3 linked regions of the Xenopus tropicalis genome follow. The protein of the gene in region 2 purifies or fractionates together with the protein of the main gene of each other region. This does not show direct contact. Links are inferred from orthologs where the notes say so. Each region holds a gene or a part of one and is shown on either strand. Other genes may lie near its edges.

Evidence for each region.
Region 1: the proteins of rabggtb (region 2) and rap2c purify together in Homo sapiens (co-immunoprecipitation; 3 studies listed by BioGRID and IntAct, counting the BioPlex papers as one, with this or other methods). This does not show direct contact. The link is inferred for Xenopus tropicalis from reciprocal best matches to the Homo sapiens genes RABGGTB and RAP2C.
Region 3: the proteins of rabggtb (region 2) and ptp4a2 purify together in Homo sapiens (affinity purification with mass spectrometry; 3 studies listed by BioGRID and IntAct, counting the BioPlex papers as one, with this or other methods). This does not show direct contact. The link is inferred for Xenopus tropicalis from reciprocal best matches to the Homo sapiens genes RABGGTB and PTP4A2.

Annotation. Positions count from the first base shown.
Region 1 is NC_030684.2:67,494,636-67,498,389, forward strand, and holds the start of rap2c (ras-related protein Rap-2c), read right to left. Parts: upstream 2,293-3,754; 5' UTR 2,019-2,292; coding exon 1,746-2,018; intron 1-1,745. UniProt on the Homo sapiens protein: Small GTP-binding protein which cycles between a GDP-bound inactive and a GTP-bound active form. May play a role in cytoskeletal rearrangements and regulate cell spreading through activation of the effector TNIK.
Region 2 is NC_030680.2:81,024,530-81,028,183, forward strand, and holds part of rabggtb (geranylgeranyl transferase type-2 subunit beta), read left to right. Parts: intron 1-2,346; coding exon 2,347-2,452; intron 2,453-2,610; coding exon 2,611-2,663; intron 2,664-3,541; coding exon 3,542-3,652; intron 3,653-3,654. UniProt on the Homo sapiens protein: Catalyzes the transfer of a geranylgeranyl moiety from geranylgeranyl diphosphate to both cysteines of Rab proteins with the C-terminal sequence -XXCC, -XCXC and -CCXX, such as RAB1A, RAB3A, RAB5A and RAB7A.
Region 3 is NC_030678.2:86,676,339-86,680,092, reverse strand, and holds the start of ptp4a2 (protein tyrosine phosphatase type IVA 2), read right to left. Parts: upstream 2,456-3,754; 5' UTR 2,106-2,455; coding exon 2,010-2,105; intron 733-2,009; coding exon 640-732; intron 1-639.

The sequences.
Region 1 (3,754 bases), on a different chromosome or scaffold from region 2:
TGGGCAGATAAGCTGCCGAATCTGTCTAAAGGACTCAAATCGGCAGCTTAAATCTGCATGTTTATGGCCACCTTAACTGAGCATGCACAGTTCTTCTCAACTCATTACCAGACATCCCATCCAGTCTAGCAGCCAATGAAGAGATGGCACTGCTGGTTCCCATAGAAACTCTGTTCTAGCTGTGCACTCTGCTGGGGAAATGTTTTTCTCTCCTAACCTCCTCTCCTGAGCTCAGTTTAATCATTACAGTGCTTAATCCAAGCAGAACTTTTTATAAAAGTACTCTTAAAGAAGAGATGGAATATGAATAGGAGAGGGCCTGAATAGTAATAAAAAGTAACAGCAATGAAATTGCAGCCTCACAAAGCAATAGTTTTTTTGGACCCCATTAGGAAGCTGGAAAAAGTCAGAGAAAGAAGACAAATAATTAAAAAAACTATAAAATATAAGTAATGAAAACCACTTGCAAAGTTGCTAGGTATAGGCCATTATATAAGATACTACATTTTAACTTAAAAGTGAACCATCCCTTTAATGACTCTCTACATAACTACAGAGTGAAAAACTCTTATACAAAACAGGCCCTACATTTGTCAATAAACAGTATATTAGGTGCTGGATGAACATTAAATGTAAAAAAATAAATCCCTTTATGACTTACTGGTCTTTTGACACAAGAAAACCATAGTAACTATGAAAAAAATATTATACAGTGGCCCTACTGTAAATTCCAAAAATATTAGAAATCTCCAAAAAGTTATGTGACCACAAAAAGAAAGAGTCAGAAATAGCCTTTATACAGCTCACATACTCTGAAAACATTTAACTTCTGATGTATAATAACAGTTATAGGGCTTGACAGACCCAAAGTGAGATATTTATACATGTACTTCCCTGACACACAGCACGTATGCCATCCCGTGGGTGGCCAAATTGGGCAAAGATCCACTCGCTTGGCAAACTGGCCAAACTTGAATTTTCAGCATATGGCCAGGTTAAAGGGGCAGTACACCCTCTTCTTCAACATTAGATCAATGAATATGGTTTGTGGTTCTAAAAAAGTAGCCTGGGGCTATTAAACACATAAAGCCTTTGATCTCCTCTGAAATCCTCTTAGCTGCGCTATGTTATTATACTGAAACAATAAAGATATTGGATTTTTAAATCCAAGGTGCACAATTTGCTTTTTGTCAGAGGATATGGTTTGTGGTGAACATACTTTTTGCCTGTTGCTTTAATTGAGAAATTGTTGTTGTTTAAACTAAATTTGGCAAAATCTTAAACTGAAATAGGTCATACTCTACTTTTGTTCTTCTAAAAGCACACACCAAAAATCCACTGAGAAGCCTTCTGCATAAACAAACCCCTTCCCCGACTGCAGTCTTTGTGAGAAGAGCAGCTTATTATACAAAGGGCCTCTTAGCGGATTAGTGATTTTTTTCTCAATTGTGCTTGTATAAACAGGAAGTAGCATGTGACATTACTCGATTTTAATGCTTACTCTCTTTAGCCAACACATATGTCTTAATTAATAGGAAAAAAGTATGTTCAGCACAAGCTTAACTAATCTTAAGAGGTATGCTGCCTCTGTAAGTGCAAAGCAAAATCTGGCAAATCAGCAAGATTTCTATAACGTAGCAATGGGTGTTTCTTTGCATCACTATAGTAAACTATTTAAAAATTCACTGACATGTAACATTTTCATTCATACTTGGCACTGTATGTGAAGGAACTGGTTATCTCACCTGGAATGACTGTTGATTTACCAAGCTGTACACCAAGATAAAGCCCTGGCCATTCTTAATGTAAAGATCCCTCATAGAAGCAAACTGTTCTGTGCCTGCTGTGTCCAAGATCTCCAGCACAGAGGGTGATGAGTCCACCTCAATTTCTTTGCGATAAAAATCCTCAATTGTAGGATCATACTTTTCAATAAAGGTGCCCGTAACAAACTGGACAGTTAGGGCTGACTTCCCAACCCCACCACTGCCTAACACCACCACCTTGTACTCCCTCATGGGCTCGGACAAGTGGGGTCACACAGCACATACACCACGTCAGGTTGGAGTGAAGATGGGGCTAGTGTTCTGACTTAGGATCCAAGTTGGTTATATCCTCCTGGAAACAGTGTTGTTATCTAGGGAGACTGTTGAAATGATTCTGCTGGATGATTCAGAGTACAAAAGGCAGTTCTTGCTTTGCACAGCCTACTTTGGGTCCAATACCAGGAAGCAGTTCAACTTCAAATGAGAATAGTAAGGTAAGTTTCTTTCCTGAACTGTCACAGCAGAACTAATAAGAAAAATACAGACAAACAAACAGGTTATCTATTCAAAAAATGATAAATGGTATATTATGGAAGTAAGCAGTCATGCACATACCTAGATTCCTGCTATTTCAGAGTATTACTCTAAACAGGAAATGAACAACCACCCCATTGTTTTTGTCTCTACATTTACAGGCACAAGTTATATTACTTCCATAAAGCAGGACATTCACAACCTAATAATTAGGCCAGAATTACAGACTCTTTGCCCCATTAGCCAGCCATTTCGTAGGGGCAATTTTGGTTGATATGATTATTGATGCCTCTGCCAAAAAAAACCTCATTATTTCGAGCCCTGTTCAGAAATCAGTAGAGGAGACAAATATTCTGACACCCACACATGGGCAATGAGGCTACTGACCCAGCAAAAGAGACCAAGTCGATAATTACCCATTGAAGTGAAGGGCAACAAATGCATCTTTTCTGTATGTACCAGTACAGAGGCCCCTCTACATTAGTACAAGCATACAAACTCTGAAGGCCTCCAAGCATAATCCCCAACAGTCCAGCATTCCCCGGACACTCCCTATTTTCCCAACACAGCCCGCAGTCCGGATGGCTACTCACACGTCCCGCAAAGCTGTTGATTGCAAGCTCCTTGCCGCCTGTCTTACAGGAAATCCCAACGCCACAAGTCTCATCACGCGAGACTGTGGCGTCACGACTACACGCAAGCGCAATGACGCATCTCGTAGCCGCCTGGTTGGAGTGAAACGCAGGGATGGCGGAAGTTAGAGATACACAGTCGGAAGCAGCTAAGAAGTGGAAGTAGGTCCACTCACAGACTGGTTTGCTCTGCTCGCACCTCCTACATGTGTTAGAGAACAGAAAAATACTTTTTTTTTTTTTTTTGTGTTGGTTGCCGCCCTGCCCACAATGTTGCCTCAGAAGGCATTTATATTTTCTGCTGAGAGCATAAGTAGTATGCGCCAGGGAATTGAAAAATAAAACATTTTTCTATTAGTTGCCAGTAGTACTTGCTGCCATCAGAGCTGCTTCTCCAAAATTGATTAAAAAGGAAAAAGGTTTTTTTTTTGGTCCTCGTGAAATTAATGATCTTTTTAGTATTTTTTTTTTGTAGATGGGCCAGGTTTTCCACATAATGGCTAATTCAGGAGCAGTCAATGGGTGGAAAAATATATAAAAAAAAACTAACCCTACGTGTTTTAGGATGCTGTCTGAGGGTGCTGCTATTTTTGTGCAAACAAGGGGCAGATATTTACCAATTAGGGTGAAGACACACTGGGCTACTAGTAGCAGCTACTTTTTCAAGGCTACTAAACTCCAGAAAATACCCTGCCATAGACAATACTGAGAATTGCATCTGCTAAAACACACGTAGAGACAACTATCAGTAAATGATCTGCATTGTCTAGTTCAGAAGCCACTACAAGTAGCTGCTACTAGTAGCTCCATGTGTCTTCACCC
Region 2 (3,654 bases):
TTGCTAAAAATTAACACAATAGGTAAGACTTTTGTTAAAATTACATTCTGTCTATTGTTTTAATTAAAAATCCATATTTTCCTATTTTTTGCCATTTCATGAAATTTGAGCTATTTTCACTGACCAAAGGCTGATGCCACATGGCTGTTCCTCGCCTGTGGGGAAAAATGCAGGCCGACAATCAGCCCCTACACGGCATCAGCCTTCTACTTTGCCTGGATCTGGGACCATTGTATTGGCCTGGGTGTAGGAACATGCAGTGGATCCTGGCAAAGAAATGCAAGACTTTGAGTTCATGTTCAAAAGGGATGTACACTGTCCCTTTAAGGGTATTTGTTTCAGGCCTTAGTTGTCTTTGGTGGTTCGAGTTATTTCTTTAAACCTTCACTTCTGGCTCTTTTTCTTTAGCTCATCTTTTGTTTTTGCTTTTTTTTTTTTTTTAAAATATGGCAGAGTAAGCCCTATTCTTTTAAATCATTTTCCATTATATGTGTGTCTGTCTCTAGATTAGTGCCGGCCCGTGGCCTCCATTAAAGTCTGGCTGCTGTCAAGTTGGAACAACTAATATACCTCAAAAGAGGAAGCCCAAACAAATTCCATAAAATCTGGGACCAATGGCTGGATAAATACCCCCTCCCCACTATAGTAAATGACTAATAAAATATATACAGTTATAGGGTTTCACCCATATATAAGTAACTATAACCAGAATGTGTATTACTGTGCAATAAAACTCTATTTACTTGGTGAAAAACTTTTATTGACAATGTTAACAGGCCATATATTCCATGTTTGACAATTGTATACCTCAACTACTGTAATGCCCAATGTATACTCAATAAAAAGTACCTGAATTAAAAAAAGAAAAAGTCTGGCTGCTGTGACTGCTTACCTTTGTGAAAGCTTTAAATGGTATCAGTACTGAGATTAACTGGCCCCCTGTACTGGTAACACCTCAGATTCAGGCTGTAAGCCACTCTGGGCACACTTGTAAGGCCCTGCATTGTTCATACCTTAGCCTTTAAAGTGGATGTTTACCTTTAAATTAGCTTTTAGTATGATGTAGAGAATACTATTCTGCAATCGGTCTTCATTTTTCATTATTTGCTGTTTTTGAATTATTTAGCTTTCTGTTTACCAGCCCTCCAGTTTGGAATTTCTGCAGCCGTCTGGTTGCTAGGGTCCAATTAAACCTAGCGACCAGGCAGTGACTTAAAAGAGAGACAGGAATATGAATAAAGGAGGGCGTAAATAGAAAGATAAGTAATAAAAAGTTACAATAACTATAGAATTGTAGCCTCACAGAGCAATAGGTTGTTTTGGCAGCTGGGTCAGTGACCTCATTTACAAGTTGGAAGAAGAGGATGGCAGATAATTAAAAAACTATAAAAAATGAAGACCAACTGAGAAGTGTCTAAGAATGGGCCATTTTATAACACACTAAAAGTTAACCTAAAGGTGAAATAGCCCATTAAGTGCCCGCCTTGTTATGTTGTTCACACCTCAGACGCAGGAGTGATACCAGCATTGCGTCACTGTACACGATTGGTTACTTGCATGGTCTTGGTTTCCCTGTCTTCTGCCCTACTCTGACTGTGTGCACTGACTGTGTGTGCCATACTCTGCCTGCCCTATGCTGCTTGTATACGCCATACTCTGCCTACCCATGTGTGCCATACTCTACCTGCCCAGTGCTGCCTATGTGTGCTGTACTTTGCCTACCCTACTATGTGTGTGCCTGGCCTATGTTGCCTGTGGGCCATTTAGGTGTTTGGTGGTAGGAGGAGCAGGCATATAGATTTATGAGTATGTCTTAAAGCAGCGGTTCTCAACCTGTGGGGGTCGAACAACCCTTTCACAGGGGTCGCCCCATATTTCCGATGGTCTTAAAAGTAATTTTATGGTTGGGGGTCACCACAACATGAGGAACTGTATTAAAGGGTTGTGGCATTAGGAAGGTTGAGAACCACTGTCTTAAAGGGATACTGTCATGATTCTTATGATGTACTTTTTATTTCTAAATTATATTATTTACATAGTAAATAATTCACTCTACTATTTAAAATTTTATTGAATCAACAAATTTATTTTTTTTAGTTTTAATATTGGTGTGTAAACCGCCATTTCAGTGCATTGTGCCTGCGTCTGAGCCTTCAGAAGGAGCCAGTGCTACACATTAGAACTGCTTTCAGATAACCTATTGTTTCTCTTACTCTTATGTAACTGGTGGAGTCCCAAGCAGGACTTGTATTTCTTACTACTGAGTGCTAATGTAAAAAATGTATATAATTGTTTATACTATGCTTTTGCCAGGCTTCCCTTTGATTTGACTTTTTTTACCTTCAGATCCTCACACTGTACGATAGCCTTTCTGCAGTTGACAGCAATAGAATTGTTGATTATGTGCAAAGCCTTCAAAAAGAGGATGGATCATTTGCTGGAGACAAATGGGGTAAAATAGTTTTCTTTTACTTGTTAAACAATTTAATCTCTAAAATATGACTAAAGCTCCAAGACTTAAGCTCAAAAACATCTTGGTCTTACACTCCTGGATACATTCTTTAACATTCTGAAATAGGATATTGATTCTGTTTTTCTCTCATGTTGCAGGGGAGATTGATACACGATTTTCTTTCTGTGCTGTTGCAACACTTGCCCTTTTGGTAAGTTAGATGTGCGTTTTTTATGAGATTTGCAGAATGCCACAATGCATTCTTCTGTTATAGTGCAGTCATGTTGGCTTATCAGCGACACCATGTACTTACACTGTAAGATACATAAACACGCACTGTGTCACACATTGAGGGGGCTACTATTTCCTAGAAAAAACTAAATTCCATGCTTTGCATGTATGTTATTGCCTCTTTAATATGGAGATGTGGTAGCCCTTTGTTCAGGCTGTGGTTCATTCCTGCCTGTCTAATGTGGACCCACAGCAGCTTTTCTTATTGTTTAAAGTTATGCTGACACATTCCTATGAAAATTCATAGGATTTAATGGCCTATTAATATAATTAAATTAATATGCTGCAATTTTTTTCTTTCCAGTTGAAAAGGCTTATGATTTGTTGTCATTTGCATTTGTCCAGTTGCAACATTTGGATTGCTACATTTTTTATATACATGCTAGGCTTATTTAAAATGTTTCTAAACATTACAGTGTATGTTGAGACATTGCTGTGATTCCTAAACAACTAATTATGTCAAATGATTAGACGCTCACAATTGGATCACATAATGTGAATTAAATGGTTTTGATTTTTAGCATTGACAGCAAGGGGAAATTTCAGTTACAGGGAAAGGGGTATTAAGAAACACTGCATGTGCCATTAGCCTAAACGTTTTATTTATTATATTTGCTGTAAAGGGTTAATTTTTTTTGGGGGGGGGACTAGGTTATTAATTGCCTGTAAGGATTATTTACAAACAAAAAAGCTAAATTGCTCCCCAAGTTTCATGTTTGCTTTCATTTTTCTAATTGCAAAATATTCTTTTAATTTGGTTCTAATTTAAGTATTAAATTATGTAAATCTTTCTTGCAGGGCAGGCTGGATGCTATTAACATAGAAAAAGCCATAGAATTTGTTTTATCTTGTATGAACTTTGATGGTGGTTTTGGTTGCAGGCCAGGTTCTGAATCCCATGCAGGTCAGGT
Region 3 (3,754 bases), on a different chromosome or scaffold from region 2:
GGCGCCACGTATGCCATCCCACCACCGATTTACATTCCAGCCGGTGGGATGACATTGCGCGGAGACAAATTATCCCGTGTGTCATCGCCCATAGGCTAATGTCACATGAAGTGCAGAGTCAACTTCTCTCTGCCTGCACTCTCTCCAGGTAGTGCCCACGTGCTCCCCTCTGCTCAGTGTCTCTCACCGATAGACAGCATTGGACTGTGTACAGACAAAGGGAGTGGATATCATGTAAACACACATAGTTTTGTGTTTTCGCACAGATATCTGCTCCACGTGTCTGCAAACAGGCCTGTCATTGTAGAGACGGAGTGGAGTGAATAGACTTTTCTCTGCCTGCATTTTCTCAGAGGCTGCCCCTCATTTGATATAAGTCTTACTGCAATACTGTCATGAGAAAACATTAACAAGTTAATAGAGCTTCTCCAGCAGAATCCTGCATTGCAATCAGTTTATCTAAGACACAAACATATTTATTTATATTTAATTTTGAAATTCACACAGGGCGAGCCATATTCTTCATTTCACAGGGTACCACAGACATGTGGCACTGATAAACTTCAATTAAACAAATGAATACAAAATTCAACTTAAGCTCCTCACCGGAGTAAGTCAGTAGGCTAGTAGTATACTTACTAAAACCTGTATCCCTTCCTTTTCTACCGGTGCTTTATCATATGTTGCATCGCATACTCTCACAAGGGTGGTAACTCCATATTTCTTTAGCTCCTGCAATATGAAAAACATGGTGAAGATTACATTTGAGTAATTAAAACCCAAGCTATAAAACATTAAAGGAACACAAAAATACAATGCACTTTAAAAGCAATTACTGTCTTGCTGAAGTGCACTTTTCTGCAAACAAAAAAGTGATAAAATAAAATCAACCTAAAACATGAAAAACAAAATGGGATATTTGCACATGGGGCATTCTGATAACATTATTTTTAGGTTGTGATGATTAAAACTTTGCACCTGCAAAGACGTGGGATTTTTCCAAAGGTATTTCCATACCATAAGCCTACAAAAAAAAACTTTTAAACATTTTAATAAGCCCAATAGGATTGCTTTTCCATCAATATGGATTCATGCAGCTTAGTTACCATCAAATACGAGGTACTGTATTATTACTAAAGAGAAAGGGTAATAAAACAGTAAAAAGGAGGAAAAGATATTGAATTTTCTGCTCAAATAACTACATTTTCATAATTCAAGCTTTCTGAGGTAAGAGACCCTATACCTGTTGTACTTCTAAAGAACAATGCTTCTTGGGAGGTGCACTGCTGCAGGTACAATTAACGTATGAAACAGGTTAAAGGAGAACTATACCATTGGGTGGAAAAAGCCCCCTTAACTATCATTGCCTAGACCCCCTTCACCTCTTCCTTATGGCGCAGTTTTTACGTTTATTCACTCATCACTATTTGCAATATGTGGTAACTAACGGCATATTTTTTTCACAATTTTTTGGGAATCATATTTTATAGGAGTTGTTCTCCTTAGCAACCAGGGAGTGGCTTGAATAAGAGACTGATATATGAATAGGAGAGGGACTTAATAGAAAAAAGTTATAAAAAGTAACAATAACAATAAAACTGTAGCCTCACAGAGCAATAGTTTTTGGCTGTCGGGGTCAGTGACCCCCTCTTCAAAACTACAGAGTTTTTAAAGAAAAAGGCTAATAATTCAAAAACCATAAGAAACAAATAATAAAGACCAGGTGTAAAGTTGCTTAGAATTGTTCATTCTAAGACATGCTAAAAGTTAAATTAAAGGTGAACCATCCCTTTAAGTATTATAGTAGCGGTTACCATTAGCCACAAATTCCAGTAAATCAATATAGACCCATCTACTAATGCAGGGTCAATTGAGGAAAAAAATCCTTCCTGAATGGAATACCTCACTGAATAATGAAAACAAAACATTTTTTCTGTGGTTTGTATTAGAACTGCTTGAGTTCATTGGTATAGCCAACTGCCTAGACGATACTGCATGTAGATTCTTACCTCTGTGAACTTGTTGAGTGTGGCATTGGTTGGATTATGGGTAATAAGAAAACGCATGCACTCATGAGAGATTTCTACTGGAGCTGGACGGTTCATTTTGATCAGATTAAAAAAATAAGGATATTTCTTGGGAAAAAATCCTGAAAAATTCACAGCAAAAAATATTAAAAATTTCTATAAAGAAAAAAAAAAATTTTTTTGCAGGAAGAAAAAAAAAAAAAAGACTTATTGCAAAAGTCCCAGCGATGGTTTTAATGCAATCAAGCACTTTGTGAGGGATGCAGTACAGCATCCAATGGAATTTTCTTACATAACTTATGGAAGGGAAATGAAAAAGAAATTAAAAAAAAAAAAATGGACCAATGGTCTTTATGGCAAGGAGGCACTCATTTGGAAAAGAAAAAATAACTGCAGAGATGGCCTCCGCACTTAGTCCCCACTTTGTAAAAGTCTTCCCTTCACAAAAGGAAAAATTAATTTGCAAAAGCAAGATGGTCTCAAGGTATGAAAATAAATAGTAACTCCCATATGCTTTACTGCAGCTGGCAAAAGGCTGATGATTGGAGGGTGGGCTCAAAGAGGCAGACTTTTCAGCTCACTTGTCCGCGCCAAAGCCGTGCTGAGCCTGGCAGTATTCTGTTCTTATGCGCCGAATCGCCATAAATATGCCACGTCCACTCCAAGAGGAAACCTTTGAGACAGAAGAACACTGCAAATTAGTATTTGTAGGTTAAGAAGGCTTACTTTGCAAATTCAGCTTTATTTAATTTTTTTAAAATATCAAACTTACACTGGTAATTTAGAAGCTATTTTTTCTGTGTACTCATTCTGAAAAGTTAATGTAAAGCGCTGCATAACTTGCTGGCACTATATAAATAAATGATGACGATACATTAAATTGTGCACATGGAACATATATATAATAAAAAGCAAAAAAAGTATGCCCAAGAGCAGTAACCCATAGCAACCAATAAGATGTTTGCTTCATACTGATTGGCTGCTATTTTTCGGGCACAAATTAGTTCAGCCTATGCCTGGTGGCCACACGCATATGTCAAACAACCAAACATGATACCAATTTTGCAGTCATAAGGGAAACACTGACAACTTGAATTATCCAGAAACCAATTATCCAGAAAGTTCTGAATTACGGAAAGGCCATCTCCCATAGACTCAATAATCAAATAATTCACATTTTAAAAAATGGTTTCCTTTTTCTCTGTAATAATAAAACACTACCTTGTAATTGATCCCAACTAAGATATAATAAATCCTTATTGAAGCCAAAACAATCCTATTGGATTTAATTACTGTTTAAATATTTTTTTTAAGTAGACTTAAAGGTAGGAGATCCGAATTACTGAAAGACCTCTTATCCGGAATACCCCAGGTCCCGAGCATTCTGGATAACAGGTCCCATACCTGTAGTAAACCTTGTTTTTATTCAAACAAAACTTGCCACCAAGTCAGAAATTCAAAAATAACTTGTTTGGGAAACATCCAAGGGGTTGGTAAGCAACATGTTGCTTATAAGCCAATGGTTAGGGATTACTGGTCTAATACAATGGTGCTGGAAAATTTGTGAACCTTTTTGAATTTCCAATATTCCTGCATTCATTTGATCAAAAACATGATCTGTTTTTCCCCACCTAAAACTTGATACTAAGTACCCATTTAAACAAATGAGTTAAAAACATTACACTAGTTGATTTATTGAAAAAAGTTGCCACACACACACATATGTG